Linked DNA regions of Oreochromis niloticus. The protein of the gene in region 1 binds, or shares a complex with, the protein of each later gene. Links are inferred from orthologs where the notes say so. Each region holds a gene or a part of one and is shown on either strand. Other genes may lie near its edges.

The links.
Region 2: upf3b (region 1) and casc3 share a complex: the UniProt entries of both Homo sapiens proteins name them as parts of the mRNA splicing-dependent exon junction complex. The link is inferred for Oreochromis niloticus from reciprocal best matches to the Homo sapiens genes UPF3B and CASC3.

What each region holds. Positions count from the first base shown.
Region 1 is NC_031966.2:18,504,493-18,516,755, forward strand, and holds the start of upf3b (regulator of nonsense transcripts 3B), read right to left. Parts: upstream 4,669-12,263; 5' UTR 4,352-4,668; coding exon 4,241-4,351; intron 4,033-4,240; coding exon 3,926-4,032; intron 3,840-3,925; coding exon 3,733-3,839; intron 3,639-3,732; coding exon 3,540-3,638; intron 3,348-3,539; coding exon 3,237-3,347; intron 3,155-3,236; coding exon 3,111-3,154; intron 3,036-3,110; coding exon 2,847-3,035; intron 2,765-2,846; coding exon 2,607-2,764; intron 709-2,606; coding exon 387-708; intron 310-386; coding exon 163-309; 3' UTR 1-162. Other genes in the region: ndufa1 (NADH dehydrogenase [ubiquinone] 1 alpha subcomplex subunit 1), read left to right, coding at 5,430-5,531, 5,614-5,703, 6,829-6,849; nkap (NF-kappa-B-activating protein), read right to left, coding at 8,712-8,886, 9,419-9,568, 10,015-10,212, 10,298-10,340, 10,427-10,522, 10,610-10,674, 11,032-11,112, 11,392-11,837. UniProt on the Homo sapiens protein: Involved in nonsense-mediated decay (NMD) of mRNAs containing premature stop codons by associating with the nuclear exon junction complex (EJC) and serving as link between the EJC core and NMD machinery.
Region 2 is NC_031969.2:34,224,790-34,237,172, reverse strand, and holds the start of casc3 (protein CASC3), read right to left. Parts: upstream 5,668-12,383; 5' UTR 5,632-5,667; coding exon 5,446-5,631; intron 2,987-5,445; coding exon 2,962-2,986; intron 2,869-2,961; coding exon 2,813-2,868; intron 2,722-2,812; coding exon 2,491-2,721; intron 2,286-2,490; coding exon 2,137-2,285; intron 1,831-2,136; coding exon 1,657-1,830; intron 1,487-1,656; coding exon 594-1,486; intron 153-593; coding exon 1-152. UniProt on the Homo sapiens protein: Required for pre-mRNA splicing as component of the spliceosome. Core component of the splicing-dependent multiprotein exon junction complex (EJC) deposited at splice junctions on mRNAs.

The DNA.
Region 1 (12,263 bases):
TAGGCACTAACAGGCTCCACAATCACACCTCTGCCTCTGAGACTGGGAGACCCCGATGCTGTGCTGCACGTGGCCTCGAAATGCCACTCTGCTGCTCTGAGCCCCACAGGCCTGTCTTCTCTCTCCTCGCCAAACTTAAAAATGCTGCAGGTAGAAATCTGCTCAGTCGTCTTCTTTCTCAGCCACTTTCCTAGCCTCGGTATCTGGCTTTCTGTCAGCGGAGTTGGATTCAGCTCCTCCTCCTCCTCCTCCTGCAGCACGGTTGCGGCTTCTGGCACCTGGCTGGTACAGCTGAATAGCAGGCCGGTCCTGATACAGAGAAAGAGCAGGCTCAGAAACACAACTGGATGAAATTGTGTGATGATTTAAGACCTACGGGCAGTTACCTTATTTCGTAGCCGCTCTCTTTTCCCACCCTCCTCCTTCTTGTTGTCTTTAGCAGGCTTCTCTGGCTTCTCAGTGTGTGGGGAGTCTGGCATGTTTTCACCCTTCTTCTTCTCCAAGGCTTTATCTTTTTTAACCTCCTCCTCCCGCTTCTTGAAGGAGTTGTCTCCATCCTGTTGTTCCCTTCTTCTCCGACGCTCCTCATCCTGTCGCTTGAGGCGTTCCCTCTCTTTCTGCCGACGCTCCTTCTCCCGCTCTCGGTCACGGTCTCTGTCTCGATCCGTGTCGCGCTCCCTGAACTCCTTCCGCCCATCTTCGTCCCCTCTGTGGGAAAAGCACAAGTTTGACTGAACCTATAAGGGACCATGGAGGCTCTTTTATGACAAGAGATTTTCACTATATGAAAGTAAGTATTGAGCCACCTCTTAATTAAAATCCAGTAGCAAACCATGTAGTCTGCCTTAACAAACATTTATTTAAAAAAACAAAATAAAAACCACACTAACAACAACAGTCTTCCTGTGGAACTCTTCCTACATTTTCCACAAACAACTGTAAGTAGTGCTATTGCAGAGTCGAAGTATTAAATAACCACATCAACTCAACCACAAAGTGACAGATCAGGTGAAGGCAAAGAGAGAGTGTCAACATGTTTTGCTGACTCAATACCCACAGAGCTCAAACCTCCTCTGGCATTAACATCAACACAAAAACTGTGCACCGGGAGTTTGGTTGAATGGATTTCCATGGCCAAGCAGCTGCATGACATCTTCCAAAGCCTTCATATATCCCTAATCTCAACTGCTCACAAATGCTCTTCTGGATGAATGTGCAAAAACTGACCACAGAGACACTTCAAGTCTTTTAGAAAACCTTTTTAGAAGAGTGGACTCTATGGACGCCTATGGGTTTAGAAAAACAGGCTGATCACTCTGTGTTGTAGCAGTGTAAAACAGACCCGGTCGCAGATTAGAATCAAGGATGAAAACATTTATTTTATGTGACTGTGCGGTGCATTTTGTGTTGCTGTAACTTTAACTGAATGCCTTTCCTCAGTGGTGTTAAGATGACTCAGAAGAAGAACGACGACCAAAAAAAAAAAAAAAAAAAAAAAAAAAAAAAAAAGGCACCTTTGTAAAAATGTAAATGTAATGTGTGTGTGTTTTTTTTTTAAATGTGCAAGAATTAAATGTGTTTCTCAGGCCAGCATTAAAATATTAATAAATAGAACAGACAGTAATTATTTTAATCTAAAAATCGCATAATAAAAACACAAGCTGATAAAGTGCAGAGGACAAATTATGGCACCGAGTTCATGAGAATCATAGCTTTACAGAAGCAGCTGCACTTTAGGATTATCGTACAGGCTGTGAAGCTATGCAGTCCTCTGCCTGAGGGGAGGGCGGTAAACGGTTAATATAAATGTCCTCTAAAGAAGGAGAGCTGCTACAAGTCACTTTTCAGGCAGATTTATCAAATCTTTACAGTGTGTTTTTATTGCCCCCAGAGCAGTTGCCATACCAAACAATTATACAGTATGTCAAGATGCTCTCCAGCACACAATAAAGAAGTCAGCACAGCTGCACCAAGGCCAGTCTGCTTCAGCTTCTTCATAAAGAAAAACAAAACAAAACAAACGAAACAGCTCTTTGTGAGCGTTCTGATAATACTGACCACATTTGTGGTTCATGTAAGGTTACTGGACATACGCAGAACCAGAGCCACAAGCTCAAGTTTCTCCAGGAATGAAACCTGTGATCTCTCCTCCTAAAGTCCACCACAATCCCTTTCGTATTCCCCACACTGATGCACACATTGTTTGCATCACACCTGCCAACAAATTCTTCCACCTGTCTACCGTACATTGCTGGAGATCAGACCAATGACGATTGTGCCATCTATAAATTTCATCACATGAATGCCTGGATATTTTGAGGAGCAATCGCGTGTAAGCAGTATGTACAGTAGAAGGCTCAAGAGACACCATGGATCTTGACTAACCCATTAATCTACTAGTAGTGTAGGAAATGTGATGCTAAACCTCAAAATGATTAAAACAGTATCTATGATAGATAAAGGAAATGGTATGGTTATGATAAGCATAAACAGACCCATTAAAAATAAAGTATTCTGGTATTAATTATAATGGGATCAACCTAAAATAGCTTGTTCACTTGAGGGTGAATGTATTTGGACAATTAAAAGAAGAGTGAAGAACTAACTTCCTTCCTCGATCCTCCTTGTGCTCGATGTTCTGACGTCTCTTATGATCAGAACCTCCCAAAGATCTGTCCTCTCTATTTGGCTTCTCTGGTTTCTTGGACTTCTCTTTTGGCTTCTCCGGTTCACCTTCATCTCTTCTCTCTGGCTTCTTCAGGAGCTACAACAGTAAAAATAAACACACATTAAGTACTGAGAGTTGGACACAGTTTCGAACTGCTTCTTTCAACTACTGCACACACCTTTATCTTTGGCTCGTCTTTAGCTTGGTCCTTGTCCTTCTCCTGCGGTTTCTCGAGCTTCTTCATCTTCTCTGCCTCTTTGCGTTTCCTCCTCTCCTCCTCCCTCCACTTACGACGCTCCTCATCACGCAGACGTTTGCGCTCGAGTTCCCTCCTTCTTCGCTCTTCTTTCTTCTCCTCCCTGAGTCTCTGTAGAACATTAAAACAAAATGTGTGAGGCCAGCCTCCAGCAATGTATACACATCTCGACCTGAACTTATTTACCTGTTTATTCTTCAGGAAGTCCAGCAGAGGAGTTGTTTTTTTTGCTTGAACAAAGGAAATGATAAAAATTATTCATTGTGCAGTGCGTTTGTTTGAAAACTACCAGTATTTGACTGCTAAACATACCAACGAGTTCCTTTGATTTAGCTTCAATCTCCTCCAACAGGGTCTCAGGTGTGGACGTTAGCTTCTCGTCGTCCCCGTTGTAATATTCAAGGAACTTTTTGTAATCTGGATCTTAAAAGAATCAAATGAAACACAAATAAACACATTAATGATTATAGCAAGACTGCTTTTTCTGTATCTTTATATGTCTTTATAAGTGTTCCTAAATTGCACTTAAAGCAGACCTATAATGCTTTTCCTTATTTTCTGACATACTGCGTTACAATATATGAATTGTATTTATCAAAGGGTAAATATATTTACCTTCGACAATTGTTCCACACTTTGCATCCTTTTTTTTACTTCTTTTCTTGGCAGTTTTTTGAAAAGGTGCAAATTCCACAATGGCAGGATACTCCTGACCTGTTCGTAAACATCATGTGGAAAAAGATGAAACTTCGGGTCCTTCCTACAGAAATCTTTAAATCTGTTTAGTAACTTCTTCCCTGTTTTATACCTCTGTTGTCAATGAATACATATCCATCAAAGCGATCTCTGAAGAGCACTATATCCTCTTGGTTTTTGAAGTTGATGTAAGCCCTTGCAAAGAGGTGAGGGTAAAGGCTAAAAGAGGAAAACACCTGTGTCATACATATACGAGTATATTTATCTTTTGTTAACAGTGAGGGAATCTTTACAGATAAACTCACCTCGTGTCGTTAGAGAAGAACTCCAAATAGTCCACCTCTGGGAGCGGTTGCAGTTGCTCCTCCAGCTCCTCTTTGGTGAGACTTGGTGGTAGTCGTCTGATCACAATCTATTTAATAAAAAAAAAAAAAAAAATCATAGGTGAAGTTATTATCTGGAGAACAAAGTTGGGGCTGATAAACAGATTTCTTAAGTTCACGTGCATTCTATCATTATACACGTGAAACATGATGAAACACTACAACATGAAAAATAGTGCAATTTTATAAACCTGGCGGTTCATAGCAACATGAGCTAACGCAGCTAGCAAGTTTTACCTTTGTCATGGCCTCCTTCTTTTCCTTGGACTTCTCCGTCTTCTCTCCATCTTCATACTTTATCTCCACCCTTTTCTCCTTCGGTCGAGTGTTTTCTTTGTCTTCCTTCATTGCAGAAAACTTTACTTAATCCTGGACTTGGGTCTCATCTCATTCAGCTGACTTGTTTACCTTTCAGCGAGTTAGCCTCTGCTAGTGAACGAACTAACTGGAACTTCCTCACTGACGGTTAGCGCTGCGTTTAGTATCAGCGCCGGAGTGGGGCGCTGTACATGAACTCAATCGTGCCTAGGCAATTAATTTAATAACTAGAATATATTTTATTTTGTTTTATTTATAGTCTTAATTAGTTTGTCCATGAAAGGAATTATTCTGAATGGTTTCTTATTTGCTATTAGAAAGAAATGGTGCTAGCGTGAGCCAAAAAGAGCTTCCGCCTTTCAGCTACACTTCAAATTAAAAGCTTACTCGTCGTGTAAACACTTAAGTCATGTTTGGCGATTTCCAGACAAAAAACAAAACAAAACAAACGAACGAAAGAAAATTAAATAAACAGGATATATATATATATATATATATATATATATATATATATATATATATGTATATATATATATATATATATATATATATATGTATATATAAAGATTGCTTAACTGAAAATAATTGCCTTCCATAATTCAAAATGCTTCTTCAGAGATCGCTTTGCTGGTAAGTCGATTTTTTGGTGGGGAGGAGACTAACCCTAAACTCAAATTTTTGAGATAATAACGAAAAGGGGAAACGTTGACCTATAGATAGCTAAACAAACGTTTTTTAAGTTTTTTTTTCCAGTGACAAGTGTCCATTTAAAAAAATTAACATATAATTTGAATTATGATAGAATTTTTAACACTTTTTTTTCCTCCCCACATATCCATGTCCGATCGGTTTCGTCTTTTGACTGTAAAAGCATAATTTAATCATCGATTTAAAATTACGATCAAAATGAATTGTTGAATTGAAGTGTTTTATTTTGAAAATCTTCAACAGGAAGTTCTTCTCTTGTCCTGGAAGAGGAACGTAGGTCGTCCTGACGGTCGACATTTTGCTACTTTCTGGGATAAATAAACAGCGTTAGGTAGGTTTTGGGGCAACTTTGTTGTCCTCGAAGTTGCTCTTTGTCCCCTGACAGTTAAACGCTGTAATCATGTGGTATGAAATTCTGCCCGGACTCGGCGTCATGGCCGTGTGTCTGATCATTCCCGGTGTCGCCACCGCGCAGATCCACAAGTTCACTAACGGAGGAAAGGTGAGGACGCAGGCGCTGCCAGTAGGTTCTCGTGTTGTGTACCAGACTGCTGGATTATAAAGAGTGTGTTTTTCCCCCGCAGGAGAAAAGGATTGCTCGGGTTCCGTGGCAGTGGTATCTCATGGACAGAGATAAGCGAGTGTCAGGAACCGGACGCCACTTTGACTCCAAGGTTAGCTTCCTTCTGCCCATAATAACTAAAAGTAATGCTAATGAATAACAAAGTGTCCAACTTGGAACTACTTTACAGCCTTTCTCTGAGACTACAACTACATATAAATACAAAAGTCGCTTAAACTGCTCGACAGTAGTGTGCACAGTTTCAGAAAAAGCAGTATGTGCAAATACGGTGCACTTTCAAAACCCTAGTTTTGTTTCAGTCAGGCATTTCATGGAGGCACACCAATGTCCACATTCACAGAAAAAAAAAAAAACACTGTATATCATGTGACTCATCTGTGTATATTCTTTTAATTATAAAGGCATTCTTGGTAGCACATTTGCACTATCTGGGGTGCATCTGTACTACCTCCACGCCATCAATCAGATCCTTTTATGTGTACAAACACAGTGCATTTGAATATCACTCATTATTGTTTTGCCTCCCTTGGACTTGTCTCAGCACACCAGCATGCCATTTTTTTTGGGGGGGGGGGATATCGAAATGATTTCTTTTTTCCTTTTCCTTAAGCTGTAGTATCTTTAAGATCATTCATCTGATTGGAGTAGTTTTATGGGAATCTGTGTTACAAATTTGAACCCTCTATCTTTGAAACTGTTCATCTAAAAACTTTCAAATATTTGTAATGCAATCAAATTTTCAAGCTAATTGGGTTTCTCAGAATGTGATGTTTAACTTCAACAACACTTTAGAAATTCCATATTCCTGAAGTCAAGACAACAGATATTTGGCCTAAAAAATTGAATGACGTAGCTTAAATAGTTCTCTGGATTGGTGCATTTTCAAATGGCTATAACTTCATTACAAAATAATTTTTATCGAAACGTGTCCTATAATGATACTTTAACCTAAACTATATAATTATGCAAAGTGATCATCCCAACATGCTCTATGCTAAATAACCCAATGCCATGCTTTAGCCTTTTATATAGTAAGTACCACACGGTGGTCTTCCTTGTTCTCGGTCATCAGGTAACACCGATGGCGGTGTTAGTCTTGTGTAGAGCATAAAAGGAGACCTAAAGTCCATAAAATGTGTTTTTAGCTTAACTGAACACAATGGCTGCTCATGTATAACTACTTTTAATCCTTATTTATTTCGCTTTTCCTCACCAGGGACTTGAGAACATTCACTGACGAGGAACCCGGAGAGACCCAAGAGAAGAAAGTTCTTTGTTGTACATTAAAAGATTATATTTAACATTCAGCTGTTTGTGTTTTTCAGTCTTTTAAGATGGGTGATTAAACTCTTCCACACACTGGGAATCTTGTGAGGCTTCTTATATTGATTTCTACCAGTAACAGAAGAGAGAAGGAGTGTAGTTACTATTTTATTTTATTACATCTGCTTACATGTTGACAGGTTTACTGGACTTGAGATGTCTCACAGTACCTGCTGTTACCATTTAGCTGTAATACGCCTTCCTGCAGCATCACGTTAACTGTAACTAACTCTATTGTTCCAAGTAGCTTCAAAAAACAACTATTGACAAAAACTAAAAGACGTGATTAGTCCATACATTTTTTTTTTTTCAGTGCAGTTCATTAATTTCTTTCAGTCTGGGATTAGGTTTAATCCAAGTTGTGGAAACATGATGTCAATGTTTTCTCAGTGTTTCTTTCAAACCACCGTCACAGGCAACCTGTGGTGGATGCTCAGGTGATATTAACTAATAAAAAAAACAGCAAATGCAGGAAAAAAATATTTTGTTTCTTACAAAAATGTTCATTTAAAAAAGCACTAATTGAAATGCTGTAAAAAGTAAAGAATTCAAAAAACTCCTGTAAGAAAAAAAACAATAGTTCTGTATTAGCAATTTATAGAAATTTCTTTCTCACGCCAGTGAAAAACATCTTAAAAGTCATAAGACTTTCAACTTGTAAATAAATAAAGGTTTATAAACAGCTGAAGTAAATGCACACTGTGGCCACTGATTCACTATAAAGAAGCTGAAACAATTGCTAAAGATATTTGGGGGTCACTGTGGCTAAAAACCAGTCAAGTATGGGCACCACTTTAGGTCAATGAGTGAGCAGGTGATCACATGTCACATGGTCAGAGTGCAGTGTCCCTCCTCACTTTTCTTTCTTTCCACTAAAGGCAAACATGCCCAAAAAAATCAATATGAACAAAATTTCCACCTCACCTTTCCAAAAGTCGGCCATTGTTTTTACATTTATTTGACCTGTACCATATCCAGTGATAAACTGCAATATTGATACTATGTGTATTTTCTGAGGCAGAGACTTGTCTGTGATGTCACAGATTTTACCACTACAAATATATATTATTTTGAAATGAAAAAAACAAAACAAAACATGCTTGGAACAAAGTAGACTTTTGCTTTAGACTGTGGACTTGAAATGGTGGTAAAATTAATTTGGCGGCACTTTTAAAGACAGCTTGAACTTTTTTTCAGTACTGAAATTTTCATGTGGTTCCTGTTCTTAAGTAGCTATTTGCTCAGATATTTGCTCAAAAACACTGGCAGATTTATTTTTAATATTCAGAGTTTGATGGTAAATTTTTTGCCAAGTTTTCTTAAATATGCTACAATTAACTCGTCACAAAAAATGATCAGTTATTTAGTTTAAAAAAAAAGCCTTTATTTAAGTGTTTCACTCAGATGAGGTCCTGCACTTTAAAACAATAATACTACAAACTGCTCTTTTTTTCTAAATGGTTTTCTACTCTTGATGCATTTATCACTTATAGTAGAACTCCCGGCAAGAACAGAAAGAAATAATAAAATGGCAACAAGATATGATAGTGAAAATTTATTTAACATTCTGGTTGGGAGCATTTGAAAACATTTACAAGAGACGGATAAAAAAGGGAAGGAGAATACAACTGAATACTTCTCAGACACATTTTTACAGTTAAAACACTCCTGCACTGTACACTCGATTCAAACTGAGAGAGAAAAAAAAAAGCTTTACGCCTCATGTCACTAAACAACAAGTAAAGGTTCCAATAACAGGAGACAGAAACTGGTCGTTCACTTCTCCTCCTTGCCTTTGGTTTTCCTGTACACCATCTCCCTGAAGCTCGACAGGATCTTGCTCTCTCTCTTTCTCCTCTCCTCCTGGTTGAACGATGCCAGGGCTCTCTTTTCGTCTGCGCTGTAGATCTGGTTTTCCTTTCTCAGACGCACAGCCTCCATACGACGATGTCTGCGGGGCGAAAAATTTGTCAATATTACGGGAAGAAAAGCTGAACACGCTCCTGGATCTGCTCAACTCAATCCAGCCTAGAGCACAAGCTAAAGCAAATGTTACAATGTGCAGAGATTAGTAAAGAAATTAAACAACATTTTGAAGCATTTGGTAACTTTTGCTGCACATATATGTTTTGAGGTTTGGTTTAAAATCAACTGGAAATGCCACATTTTCACTGATTCCTTTACTTAACCCATGTTTTAACTCACCATATAGAGCCTCTGCTGGGAGAACACATTTTATATGTTGTTGTTAAAGTGTGCCTCATTAAAACTACTAAATCAAGAACCGCCTTTTTACGGAAATCTGCGTGTATTAATGTAGTAATGCAGAAAATGTTAAATCCAGATGGTGACTTTTGTTTTGGCCAGGCAGTGGACTTGTGAAAAGAATCTTCACTACAAAATCGTGTTGATTTGTTTAATATGTTTGCATGAATCGGACCACAGCTGAGGTGAAAATTTTCCATTTTCTAAACATTACGTACCTGCTGCCACTCATGACGTAACCAGACTTCTCAAAGTTTGCGATCTCATCGCTGGTGAGACCGATCTCTCCTCTTCTTGGGATACGTTTGCCAGCTTTCACGTACTCTGCCATGGCAGCACCTTCACCTGGCAACAGGGCATGACCGAAACTGGAGGAAGGAGAAAAGAAAAAGAAGCTTTTATCAAAAATTCTGCCAAATGATTTAAACAAGTTGTGTAGTGGAAATGCTTAACAGAGTCTGTCTTATTTTGTCACATCTGATAAACTGAATCATAGTGATTTCCATTTTTTATAGCCTAAATAAAACTGAAAGAACCAATCAATAATCAGCAATCTTCAATAATGTCAACTCTACTATCGCTTTTTAAAAAAAAATCCCAGTCTTCAAGCTCACCATTTAGCTAGCAAGTTTGAAAATACACAGCCTGCCTCTGTTATTTTTTTCTGTTTTCAGACATTTAATCAGTTTTCTGTACTGTACAGGTATGCTCCACTGTAAACAGCAGTTGTGTTTTGGAATAGAATACAAACTACATTAGGATTAGATGCTCTCCCTGTTTGTTAATGCAGGAATTAACACAAACAGAGACTCACTCCAAAGGTCGATCGTTCTGAGACATGTGAGTGAGAGGAGCTTCGGGGCCGACGACATGCTCATCAATGGAGGTTTTCTCCACCCACAACACCCCATTGGGATCTTCCTCCTCTTCCTCCTCTGAGGCCTCGCTGCTGGAGTCGCTGCTGGACTCCTTCCGGCTTTTCTTCGCCTTCTTCTTCTTGGACTTCTTAGACCTGACGAGAAACGGGATGCTTGGTGAGTCAAATGGGCTGTTACCATGTCAACAGAGCTGGTGCACAGCTTTGTATCAGAACATACTTTTTGCTCTTCTTTTTCTTTTTCTTCTTCTTTATTTCTTCTTCTGAAACACAAAAACAAAACAGTTAAACTGATGAATCTGATTAGAGAAAAAAAAAAAAAAAAAAGGGTGCTTTTCGTTCATCTTACCATCCGAATCTGATTCAAGCTCACTGTCCTCTGAGTGCTTTTTGTTCTTTCTCTTCTTGGACTTCTTCTTCTTTTTCTTTTTCTTCTTCTTCTCTTCTGATAATAACAGACAGAATGGTTTTGTTATAAATTCACAGAAAACGTTGCATTGCTGTAATTTATATGTGTCCACACTCTGTGTACCTTCTGTGCTTGATTCTGAACTGCTGTTTTTCTCATCTTCTTCAACTGGTGTGAACTCATCGGAGCTGATGGAGGGGAAAAAAATACAGAAAAGAATTTTTGATACCTGAAAATAAGACAGAACAACGCCTGATGTCTCTGCCAGGGTGCCAACAGGTATGACACATCAAGATCTTTTAAATAACCGCTTAAATAAAATTTAACAGGAAAAGTAAGATTAAAAAGGTGAAAAATTGGTTGAATGAAGTCATTGTGAAATAGAAACTCTTACGGTGATGAGACTAAAAACATCTAAGACCAAGACACACAGAATTTAAGCCAGTTTTAATTAAAAAAGAAACTTTTACAAATAAATATGACCGTTTTAAGGACCTGTGTCTCCACAAACCCAACACAAAATTAACAGTATGTTCCTCACTTACTCTGGCTCTTTCACTCTGGGTGAATATCCCCAAACTTCAGGACAACCCAGCTCGCCGATCCTCTCCCTCTCCTGCAGACGCCTAAAACATAAGTTTGCAAAAACAAAAAGGTGTTTTTAACTGAAATGTCAAACTACACTTAGATTAGCTGCAAATCAAAGGAGGACAGCTTCCATCTGTTTGGTTTTTGGTAACAGATACATTGAAGAGCCCTCCACCTCCAGTTCACTGTTCATCTGAAGTGGTGGCACGTCATAAAATGCACCAATAGGCACGTGTACCTGAGGACTGATTTGTATTATGGGAATTGCAGGGTTCAGGCTTTGATAGCTTTTCACAGTGATGTTGGACTTTTCATACCTGGCGATAAAAGCCTCTTGTCTCTGCCGCTGAGCGTCGTCCCTCTGCTGCTCGTAGTAATAATCATCCTTGAGGCCGCCGTGTTTTCCCGGAGGCTCGGACCAGTGATTGCTGTGGTTGTGACTGCTGTTGTTGTTGTTGTTATGGCGCTCCCTGGACCGGGACCTTGATCTTGATCTGGATCTGGACCTGGAGCGGCTACGATGAGGGCTTCCTATACGGATCCGTCTAATGTTTCTGGCCTCTTTGAACCGACGCTCCCGTTCCTCGCGCTCCCTCTCCCGGTTGCGCGGCTTAGGGAGTTTGGGTCCGAAGCTGTCCGGAGACAAGCTCCGGTCGCGGCTGTCGCTGCGATGGCGACTGCGGGAGCGGGTCCGAGGTCTACGGGCCCGAGGACTGCGTGACTCCCCATCGCCGTCAGAGCTCGATCGATCCGACAGAGGCATGTCCTCTGACCGCAAGAGACTCACTACAGAACGGGGTAAAAAGTAATTAATTTCAATCAGTATCTAAGGGTAGATTTAAAAGATGTCGCACTCAGTTTATCTTCTTCTCCTTACGCAGAGAGAGCGTTTAATAACAGGAAGTACTGGTTGGTCCGTCCCAAAAAAGAATCCGACGTCACATGTCATCCAGAAGAGTTCCCAACATACTGATATAGCTCAATTTTCTTGCATTAAAATAATGTAAAAAAGAAAAATTCCTCAAAACTTGCAGAAGTACTAGTAATATGTATGGAATAAGTCCTAGTAAAACCAGTCAGATTCACTTAAGATATTTATCTATGTTTTTTTTTTTGGCTTATACTTTCTTTAAGTTTTTTGAATAGTTTTATAGGGAAATATTTGCTAACAATGCCTGTATGTATACTT
Region 2 (12,383 bases), on another chromosome or scaffold:
CATCACTCCCAGGTGCATAGGCGGCGCCGGCTCGGGCACGGCTCTCTGTCGCTGGGAGGAGTAGCGTTTGGCCCGGTTGTTGCCGACACCCATCTCCTCGATGCCGGAGAACTGTGGCGGGCCGCTGGGCATGTGCAGGGGGTTAGGAAGGCCTGTGCACAGAGAGACTGGTTTAACGACAGACAATCACAGGGGCCAAATAACAGGAGCCACATTTATCATCAACAACATTCAAATGTTGATTTTTATGGAACGCGTAAGATTTAGTCTGCATGAGAATGAACAATGAAAAAGTTAGAAAAAGCAAAACATCTGCAGAGAGCAGGCTTCATTCATATGAGACGTCACATTAGGAAGCTTAACAGGTTTAGGCCCCTCTACACACAAACAAACTGGACTGCATGTGTTAAAGCCTCACAAGGACCAAAGATCACTGAGGTGGTAATAACGCTGTAGATATTTGGGTGTAGCTGCGCTTTACAGCCTCAGTTTTAGCTCCGCCTCAGGTGAACCTGTTCAGTCGACATTTAGCATGAACCACCTGACTCTGCTCGTGAGCGCCACCTGTGAGGTGATTTTGTAAAAGCCCTCACCTCTCATCTCAGACCGCATGTACGAGGTCGGGCTCCAGCTCTGCCTGGCCAGATTGAGCCGGGCCACGTCCTGGTCCAGCTCCGTCACGCCTCCTCCCGCCTGGCTCGGTGCGTCGCCTCCACCCGACCAGCTCTTTCCCCCCACATTGCTAGGAGAAGAGTTGTTGCCCCCGGCAACGGACTCCTCCACAGACGCCTGTTTACTGCCCAGGTCTGCGGGACGCGAGCGAGTCCTGCGAGCCAGTGAGTAAGACTTGCGCTCCACTGGCCGCTCGGCGGGAGGGGAAGCTTCCCGATTGGTCGCTGCTGCTGACGACTGAAGGGAAGGGTCGGAGCCGGAAGAGGAAGCGGCCAGTCCTGACGCAGATCTGTCCATGCCACCTCGCTGCTCCTGCTGGCGTCTCGGTGAAGTGGACTGGTAACCGCCCGGCTGTGGCGACGCTGCCGGCGTCACGGCGCCAACGCTCAATTCCTGCTCCGTGACCCCTCCCTGACTGACTGTAATGTCCTCAATGACCACAGAGGGTGCCCTTCCTCCTCGCCCTCCTCTGACACCTCCCTTTTCCCCTGTAGGCTCCGCCTGAGCCCGAGGACCCGTCCGCTCTCGGTGGTGCACCAGGGGTGCGTTTGATTCATTGTTCCTGTAGTGAGACGGAGGTGGGGGGTGCAGGTTACTCTGGGGTGGTCTGGTACGGGAGGGAGGAGGTCTGGAGGGGATGCCGCTTCGCTGTGCAGAGGATGACGACGAAGAGGAGGGGTGGACAGATGAAGGTGGAGGAGCTCCTCCTCGGTTCAGACCTCCTCCCCCTCCTCCCCTGTTCTGCCAGGACCGGACGGGCCGCTCTCCTCCTCCATCTCTCCACCGTTTGTCTCTGCTGGGAGACGAAGTCGGTCTGCAGGAGACACAGAGACGAAGGTTAAACATCAAACCAACAGCGGCTACGCTCGTTACAGGAAGTACGATGACCTCACTCAAAGTGACTTTATTTAGCGTGGTGACCCGCAGGTATCCCAAAGCTCGCAGCTCCGGAGACGTTCAACGTTCAGCTGACACGCCGCTCACCTGGGCCTCCGCTGTCTGTACCCTCGGTCTCCGGGGCCGCCGCCATTTCGGATGTCGTAACCATAGATTGCGATCAGCTCCTCGCGGCTCTTCGGCGCCTGCTCCTCCTCCCTGAACTTGTCGTGCTCCCAGCGGCCCTCGTCTTTCCACAACTTCCTGTTTCTGCCTTTTGGCCTGAAGACACAGACGGAGAGGAAATTCAAGGTCATAACGACAGGCACGTGCGCATCACATCGATGAGGTAAGAGCAGAGAGGCTTTAAAAACGAGCTCTAACCTGCTCAGAGTTTATGACTGACCCGTGCAAGCAGTGACGCAAATCTGTGGGCGCATCGTTTCAGCCCGTCTAACTCCTCCCTAAACTCTTATCGCTTCAGTTTGTCAGCGTGCAGCACGTAGCAGACACCTTCCTTCACTTTACTTTAAATGTCTCCGTTTAAACGACTTGGAGCTGATCTGGAGGCGGTGCTGTGACGGTTACCTCTCCTCCTCCTGAGCATGCCCCCTGACGTCGTGTTCGAAGAACAGACCCTTCCTTGGGATGTACGCCGGGTTCTTCCTGTCCTCGTCGTCGTCCAGCTGCTGCCCCGGTTTGCCCCCCGCCTTCGTCTCCGGGTCGTCCGTCGACTCCTGTATGAAAGTTCAGATCAGACCAATCAGATGGCAGCAGGTACCATCTTTAAACCCTGTCTGCACTCCCCTCGTTGCTTTGGATGGTTGACCTCAGGTATTCAAACTCATCCACCTGCTCTGATCACCTGTGTCAGCTCCGTCACATGTCTGAGCAGAGGCTCACTGTGGCACACGGACGACTCACTTCCTGTGCCTGTCTCACCTGTCCGTCTCCGCTCTGTCGCTCTCCTGCTAGGTTTCCCTTCTCCTCTGCTTTGCTCTCCTCTTTGCTCCGCCCTACAGCCTCTTCTTCCTCCTCAGCTTCTCCGCCCTCCTCCTCCTCTCCCTGCGCTCCCTCCACAGGGCCATCTGTAGTGGGGGGCTGGGGCTCGCTGGCTGCTGCCGGAGCTTCCTCGTCGCTGTACTGCTCTGCTTCCTCTTCCTCCTCCACTCCCTGAGGAGGACACAGTTTTAGGAGAAACACTCCCTAAAGAGGCTAAACAAGACGTCACAGCCGAGAGAAAGCAGCGAGTCGGCGGTCGTACCTCTGAATGCGATCCGTTGTCCTCGGGGTCGGCGCTGTCGTAATCTGAGAGGACGGCTGAAAAACAAAGAGGAGGAGTGAAATCACCCAACAGCAGCCTGATTTCCCAGATTGTGACTTCAGTGTGGTGCTCACGAAGAAGTCGCTTACCTTCTCCAACGCCGTCTTCGCTCTCCTGCAACAACAAAGAAGAAAACCAGCGTTAAGCTCCTGCAGCTCCAAAGCGCCGAGGATCAGACGCGTCTGTGTGTCAGAGCCTGAGCTCTGCTGCGAGTATGTCACAGAGCGCCGTGCACATTATTCAGCTTCCACCTTTAACTGTACAGACCACCAACAGCACAGCTCGGATTACTTCAGCAGAGTCTGAACGCAGCTCAAAGATCCGAGTTTATCAAACGTCTCACTAGGGCTGTTCGATATAACGATATATATCGGATGACGATAGAAAAACGTCTATCGTTTCATTTTACGCTATCGTTTGTTTCGTGGTGTCGCAAAATAAACTGTTTACGGCAATATTTTTTCATTATTTTGATGGTCACTGTAGTGGCTATATGAATTTCCTAAAGTTCTCTCTTTCTCTTATATTTAATATAACCACACTACAGACGGACAAGCGCCTGTTTTTATGCGTTTTCGTTAGCAACAACGACGGTAAAACCACCTCGTGTCCGCTTGTTTATTTTCCACATAAACCTTTCACAATAAAGCTCAAGATCCTGTTGAGGCTTTTCAAAATAAACTGAATCACGTGAAAGATGCAGAGTGTTTACGGATGAGAAGCAAAAAAGAGCCGTCAGGTGCTAAAAAATAAACCTTATACTCAAACGTTAGAACAGGCTTTTCCCCGCAGCACGCCGTGTAATAAATACTCACAAAGAAAACGGCGGCCGTTACAACCTATGTCTACAAATGTATCGTTTCATGCATCAGTTAAAACACTCGACTCCAGGTACGCGACGCCCAGCTGGAAACACTTCACGCAAGTCGAGCTGCCCGACATTCACAGAATTTACAGAAAATGTTACATTTTTGTGATTTTATATCGTTATCGGACGATAGATGTCTTAATATCGGGATATGAGATTTTGGTCATATCGCACGTCTCACAGAGTCAGTCTCTTTAAACCTCTTTACAGATGAGCTCGGTCTGATCTCACGCTAACAGCTGGATTCACTTTGTGTCTGTGTTTTTCAGCAGCAGCGCTGATACAGCAGGGTGGAGCGTTCTCACCTGTAACACCAGCACAGCTCCTCTGGGAGTTTGAACAGTTAATTTACCTGCAAACGGTCGAGTGAGTTTATACCAGCGCAAAGAACCAATATTTAAAATATGTGAAGAAATCATGACGAGGTGCCGTCAGCTCGCCTGTGTGAGTGAGCGACTGAGACCGAAAGACTCTCACAGACCAAGAAAGATCAGCGTCTTCCTCACAGTGAAGACCAGCCACAGGCCACTGCCCTCCAAGTGCCGTCCCAAGCACAGACACATGGGAAGGGTCGTGTCAGGAAGTGCATCTGGATTAAAAACAGAATTTACAAGAGTGAAAAGGAAGGTTTATGAGAAGGTCGTGAGACCTGCTGTGATGTTTGATTTGTGGACAGCGACTGAGCGTCAGAAATGAGTGACAACTCTGAGTCACAGAGGGTCTGAGCATGTGCAGAGGAGGGAGGGCGGATGATAAAAAAAGTGAGCTGCCAGGCAGGGGGAGACAAAGAGGACCTCAGAGGAGGTTCATGGATGTTGTGAAGGAGGACATACAGAGGGGTGGAGTGACAGAGGAGGATGCTGGGACAGGAGGAGGTGGAGGCAGATGAGCTGCCGTGACGACCCAAACAAGAGCAGAGATCAGATGAAGCAGAAGCCTGTAAACTGGGAACCAAAGTAACAGAGCTTAAACACAGCAAACGTCTGAAATCACAGGCAGGACTCACATTTCACTTCAGCACACTTATCAACAAGCCTGCTGCTGATTGGTTCTTACTAATCTGTCGTTTCATGTTTGTTGTCATGTAAACAGCCTGGAGCCAATAAACCCGCCTCAGCCTGCACTGCGGTCGGACCGAATCAGTCATGTTTCCCCCCGCTGCGGGGACCAAAAACGGCAGCTAAACACCACCACAGGGGCCCAGGATGATCTCAGACAGATCCACGGCCACAAAATGGAGGCTCAGCCCAGAGCCTCTCTCAGACCTCGGGTCACGCGGAGGTGCGTGATGCAGCCAGCCCGGGGGTCCCGGACATCACTCTCACGCCTCGGTGTTGTGTCACGTTTGGTGTCCGTGTTAGTTTGAGCCTTTCCGGCTCGGACACAAGCGCTACAGCGAGCTACTCGGTCTGTTCCAGCTCGAACCGCCAGGCTGGCCGGGGTCATGGACCAGAACCGTCCGACGGAGCGGTTACAGAGCGGAGCCGTTACCTTCGAGCTAACGCCGAACAAACACCGAGCTGTCTGTGGGACTCGAACACGTCACCCGCTGTTTTATCCAGGGTTCATTTTCCACAGTGACCCGAGCCCGGAGCGGGTCTCGGGCCCGGAGTAAATGCTCTAACGCCCGAAAGCTCGGCTCTGATCTCCCGCCCGGGACCGGGTGAGCTCTGGGAGCTAACGTTAGCTGCTAGCTGGTACTCACACACTCGGACTCCACGTCGCTCTTCGCCGGGACCCGGCTCGCGGTCGGTTCCGCCGGGTCGGGCTCCCGTCCCCGGGGCTTCGAGGACGGGGACCCGGACCTCCCGCTGTCCGAACCCGACCCGGACTCATCGTCATCCTCGCTGTCCTGGGACGCGCGCCTCCTCCTTCGCCGCCGGTCCGCCATCTTAGGACTCGAATGGTTGGAAACGGAAGAAGCAGAGGATTATGGGTATCCGAGTTCTTCTTCAGTGAGATAATTAAGAGCACCTTTTTCTCTCTACCGCCATCTACTGTTTGTAAACTTTTACTAACACGCTTGAAAATGCGACAAAATAAATAAATAGAAAATAAAACATAACTTGTACAACAGAAACGAAACAAACTGGGTAATAAAAATCAAAACAGAAACAATAAACAGAGTTCTGCAGGTCTGACTTTAGTAAAGTAAATGTCCTGACATGCAGAATGTATTCAGGTAAAAGTACTTAAAGTATTTAAAGTATCTGGATGTGCAGCTGATGGATGATGCACCAAAGCTTCAGCAGCATGTTTCTGCAGACAGGCGGTGGATCTGAAACGTGAGCGTCTCCCTCCAAACCAACAAAGAAGTCTGTTTTTATTTTATTTTATTTTAACGTTTTGGTCAAGCTTACATTACGTTTGGATTAATACTGAGCTCTGAGTTTCAGTGTTGTTGTATTGCAGTAAAAGCTACATGTTTGTAGTTCGACACAGCAACAGGTGACGAGAAAAAGGTGATATTTTACAGGTATGTACCTGAACCTGAGGAACAGGTAAGACGTCAGAGTAGCGCATTTCCGTCGGTCACCACTAGACGGCGCTGCTGACTACATTCAGAGCTGCAGAGATGCCGAGCTCAGAGCAGAATAACCTGTCTCCACAGTGAGTCTGAGGCCTCAGGTGAGCACCATCGGTTAAACCCTCCACCACGTCGCTCTCTGAAGAGCCCAGCACTGCATCTGTGCTTTTTAAGGATCTGCCTGTACCAGACAGCAGCTTTAAGTTTGTTTTAGTTTGACTTCCTGTATGTCTTCACCTGCGTGCTGTTCCCTGTCTGTTTCCTATCCCCAGTTAGTTCCCACTGTTTACACAGACCTGAGTTCCCTTCATCCCTGTCAGTGTGTCCTGGCCTCACTCCTTGTTGTACTCTCTGTTATCAGGGCTCTAAACTAACTTTTTCACATGGGCGCACCGGTACGCCTAACTTTAAAAATTTAGGCGCACCGGCACAAAATTTAGGCGCACTCAAATTTTTCAACCGCATCGCTTAACACCGCAGTTTTACATGTGCACTTTCTTTGGGGGGAAGTCCATACAGACAATATTAATTTCTAAATTATTAACTAACAAACTTGTGCTTAAAGTGCTTTGTCAATATTGTAGAAAATGTTAAACTTAATCATCACCTCGGCCTCCTCTGACGACCTGTTTGCTGCTGCCTGCTGCTGAAAGGCAGTGGGGAGAGGGGACACTTGGGCAGTGCATTTATTGCAGCATATAATGTGTTTTCTGGATGCACTGCTGCTTTTTCAGCATTCAAAGATTGATGGCACCGTGTCAGAGCTGGCTATGAATTTCAGACGGATCAGTCCTTAACTTAACACAAAAGTTATCAATAGTTCTTTTCATCTTTTCTTATTACCCACAGCTACATCCACTTCTGTCAGGCCTAGGCTGCTCACTAGGGCTGAGTATCATCACTGATTTCTATAATCCATTCGATTCCGGTTCTCAAAGTCCTGATTCGATTCAATTTAGCCTCAGACAGTCAGAAATATTATAATTCTGATCATTTATCAGCACTGATACACATGAGACTTCATCAGAATTGTGAACATCACAGCAGATGCCTTTGTGTCAAAGTAACTGAGAATAAAACACAGAAAAACATGAAGGAGATTTTCCTGGTCTGGCGTTTTATAGCAGATAACCTTAAAAATATTCTGCAATTTTGCATAATTTTAAGAAGTTTAAATTTCTTCAGTACTGAACAGCAGAAATTAGGCTTTCTTGTCCGAGGTCATTTAAGTGAAAAAAGAAAAAGAAAAGAAAAAGACAGCGGCCGACAGCGCTGTAAACAACGGTAGACTGGTGGGTAATAAGCGAATAAATAATGCAGAAAACAGAGATTTGAGACGGGAAACTGTTCTTGAAGTACAGAGAGAGAGAGAGAGAGAGGGAGAGCTGTGCATGAAGTGTGATTTTTATCGTGGTGGAAGCAAAACAGCAAAAGTCAGAGGGAATTCATGACGACATTGATCAAATGTGAAGCGTAGTTTGCTGCTTCTTTTGCTGCTGGCTCGGCGAATTTTGGTTGGAGAGACAAAACCTGCAGCTCAGAATCAGCGCAAAAAAGAGGAAACACAGCGCAGACCCGACGCATCAGAATCACTAAGCTCCGACAGCGTGTCCGTGTTCGGGCCGTGGGGTGAGAAAGCCGAGAAAGACAAAGCTGATTCTGATGCGTCGGGTCTGTGTTTACGTCTTTGTGTGGAATCCTTAATGAAATGATATCACTTTATTCAAGCTACTCACCTCTCTCTTCCACCTGCACTTTCAACTGGACCACGGCCAATCAGAGAGGTCCCGCCCCTGACTATCTCTGATTGGTTTAGTCCACGATAGGGGCATAATGTGTGTCTGTTGTTGACCACACGGACAGTTGCAGAGATTTTTTTTTTTTTTTGTTACCCGAAAATATTTGGTCACACCGGTGCGACCAAATATTTTTTTTTGGTCGCACCACTGAAAAATTTGGTCGCATTTGCAACCAAATTGGTCGCACTCTAGAGCCCTGCTGTTATCCCTGTGATGCACATTTCTCCACATGTAGGACACTTCTGCTGTTGTTCCTATAGTTGAGTTTATTAGGAGAGTAAACACATTTATCATCATGCTAATAAGCTGAAGGGAGACAACATTTTCACAGCTTTAGATCACTGATAACATCCAACAGGTAATCGAAGGCTATTGTTTTGCAAAAGTGTAGCGTTAAAGGATCCTGACCATTTCCTATAATTGCCTTTTCCCCATATGTAACAGAACCTTTACTTTGAAAATTAGGAATTTCCTGACACTCTGTTCCTCAATTAAGAAAATAATTGGCCTTTCAGTGACCCCAGAATACATGTTGGTGTTTATCACCTGGTGTGCCCACAGACAGATACACAGACACTGACAGACTCGTGGATAACTGGCTTTAAATGTGAGCGAGTTAACTTCAGTCTGATAATCATAATTAACCACATATCTGAGAAAGAGACACGTTCCTGAAAACACATGAAAACTATCAACCAATCAGAGGGAGACAGAGGAGATGATGACCTAAGCAGCAGTTATTTGTTCTTTAACAGACAAACTAAGTGAAATCACGAATCAGGTGAACTCCGACACACTCAGGTGACCCCTCTGACTGACCAGCTGTGGCAGATCCTCTCTGACTTTGCTGAAGTGCTGCTCAATCTGCTTCTTCTGGCTGTCGTAATTTTCCTCATAATAAATCTTTAACCTTTTAGAAAGTGGGACAAGGCTAACAGCAATAGCTGTACGTGAACCCTCTTCTGAAATAAATTTGTTAAAACGTTCTTTGTCCAGTTCGTATTTATTCTCCATCTTGTGCTTTTCGAACAGCAGCTCAAGCTCGCGTTCATACACAGAGATGAGAGTGTCCACAGGTCCGCAGGTCTGTAGCCCTCCCAGTCTCACCAGGTGGATCCGCACCTGGATGTGGAAGGCGGCTCCGTTCACCCAGGCCCTCAGAGCTCGTGACGACATCTGTCCGTCCCTCATCATGGAGCTCTTCAGCCTGGTGAGCACGATGCTCAGCTGGTGCTCGATCCATCTGATGTTGTTTATGAGCTCTGCATCATCATTTGTGTGCATCATGCATCTCTTCAGACACTCGTCAATCTGATGCCACACCTCAGAGGCCTTCTGCTCTGCAAAGACGCACCGCAGAGCCTCCTTTGTGCTCTCTGAGCTTGAAATGATGTCGATGAAGATGGTGAAGGCCAGCGCTCCAAGCCCCGCCAGCTTGACACTACCTGACAGATTAGCCAGCTTCTCAGCGAGATCCTTGAGCCAATCATCAACGGGATAGCTCTGCTGTTTGGTCTTGCTGAGGTGCTGCAGAGCTTCACTATGGCTTCATTCACCGTCAAATCTGGACATTTCACGCACGTCTTCATCATTTTTCTCAGAGCCTCCTCTGTATTCTTCTTCTTCATCTCTCTAGACATTCTCAGATCCATTCTGCTGCTTCGCTCTGAAACATGCAAAAAGTGAGACTGGTGAAACATCTGTGAAATGTCTGAACCCTGGAGGCTTCTGGGTCGTCCCTGGGCCTCTGCAGGATTTGACCTCTAACAGCAAACACAGGAGCTCTGTGTCGTGAGCTAATGTGCTGTTTGATAAAAATCTTTTGGCTAGCCGTACGCTGTCCTGTCATAATGAGCTGCCTGATCCATGAAGCTCAGGTGGTTGTTTTTTAGATTTAGCTTCACCTTAAACAACAAATAAAGCTGCAGCAGCTTTGTGCTCTCGGCTTCCTGCGGATCTTTGTCTACTGCGAGTCTGAAACATGATCCATCTTTGAAAAAGGTCGTTAGAGACGGCTTGCTGCTTCTCTGCTCATTTTCATCTGAGTAAAATACACAGAGCTTCGATCAGATTATCAATATTACCTGAGAGGATGAGCAGACTGCTGCTCGGTGTTTATCAGGATCCTCGATGTGGACTCAGAGGTTTCAGCTGCTGAGTCAGACTCACAGAGGAGGAGCTGCTGCTCTCGTTCCCTCCTTCTTTCCTCTCCATCATCATATCCAGGACTGATACAGCACTGATCACAGGTCAGCTGAGTCTGTGTGTGTAAATATAGGCTTTGGATAACGTTCACATCACTGCATCTGTTACACCTGAAGGTCTGATTGTTGACCTCACTGACAGTAAATCTCTCATACCTGATTACAGATAAACATCCTATATGTTATTACATAATGATGTAAATGTGTCATCATTTAAAATAATGATTCATTTTAATGATTTCACTGTTTCATGACTCGACAGTCCAAACTGTACAAACAGTTCTGACGTGCTCGTGTGTGTGAATGTTGTGGCTTAAGTCAAATTTCTGGTCTGTTCAATATCAAAAAGCCTCTTTGTAACATCGAGCTGATGTTTTCAGATGAGTCAGGTCCTGTTAGCCTAACAGCCAGCTCACCTCAGCAGCTGCCAGCAGAACCAGACCAGAGCTGGTTAGCTTATGTGCTATTTTCATGTTAAATATTAATCAGCCTCTTAAATGGACGGACTGCTGTTAGGGTTACACTCATGTGTACTCCTGTAATCACCCCCTTATGGGTGTCTGCCCTCCTGCTCTCAGCAGAGACTTTGACTTTAACCACACTTCTAATTTTCTTTGTCTTGGTTTAACTTAGCATCCAAATTGGACCCAGTCAGGTTATTATTTTGGTCTGTGCTGAAGTGATGCTGATTAATGGCCTCACTGTTGCTGAATAAGACTTTCTTTTAAATAACTTGTTCTATTGTGAGAAACTGGATTTCATGCTTAAAACTTGGCAGGGTGAGAATAAAGTTTCACATCTTTTAGAGAATTTGTTTGATGATCTGAAGCATTAATATGTAAAAATATTCACACCTTTTTATGTCCTGGAGACTTTATTTTTGCGCATGATCTCTCCCATCTTCAGTGACCATGACTCAGTCTTTTTCTCAACTTTGTATTTGTCATTTTCTTCTCAATTATTTTCAGTTTTCGTCTGACGTCAATGCTGAGCTCCGTGTTTCTTCTTCTAATCAGTACTGGACTGTAATAAGGGAGTGCACATTGCTAATATTTTATATTCTCCTAAATATATATTCATTTAAACATTCTCATGCTTATGTAAAGCACTACATGGGTTACAGTGTAAAATATTTCACTCTACAATCACAAATACATCAGCTTTGTGCTTTTCACGTGGCTCTGAAAAGGTTCCCGAACAACAAAGCTGAAGGTTGTGATACATCTTAACAGTAATAAGACAAAGCTGTGTGTTTGTCTGACTGATCTGATGTGGTCACAGAGCGTGGAGCTTATGCGCTGTCCATGGTGCTGAAATTATAACGCTTTATTCTGAATGCAATATAACTTTCTGTTTTATGAAACTGTATTAAGACAAATGCATGATGAGAAAAAAACAAGCAGCTCATTCAGAGCAGTTCAAATCATCAAAATATCAAATGTCCCTGTGCCGGACATCCACGCCTGTATTTATACGACCTGTGGGGTTCAGAGTGTTTCAGTCTGTGGCACCAAGGCTGTGGACTTGAAAATGTTTCTGTTTAACGAGGCTTCCCGTTGATATTCTTATTGATTATAACTTTCTTTCTTTTTACCATCTGTTCTTTCATTGTTTTCTTGCGTGTTTAAACTCAGTTTGTATTGCTATCGATTGTATTTTCATGTTTTATGATCTTTTACTGTGATTATTCCTAGCCTTTATTTCTTTGTACAGTGCTTTGTTATGTAACAGTGTAAAAATACTTTATAAAAACTTCACTTAGTAAATGTGCTGAAATTGTTCTAAATATAATAATATAATATCAACAAATTTCTGTCACTGACTCACTGAAGCTCATCTTTGGAAACGCACAGTTCTGATGTAGTTCAGCAAAAAATATAATAAATATTAACCATAAAGATGAAAAACAAACCAGGTGATAGTGAAACAGGACTTTTACAGGTTTGTTCCCCTGAACCTGAAGAACAGGAGCACACAAAGACGTGACACTTAATTTTGGTCACCCACCACTAGAGCTGGGTGATAGAACGATAACGATATGTGTTGCAAAATAACTTTTTCTCGATAGAAAAATTAAACTATTGCGATAGGCCTCATCTCTCTTGTCCTCTTA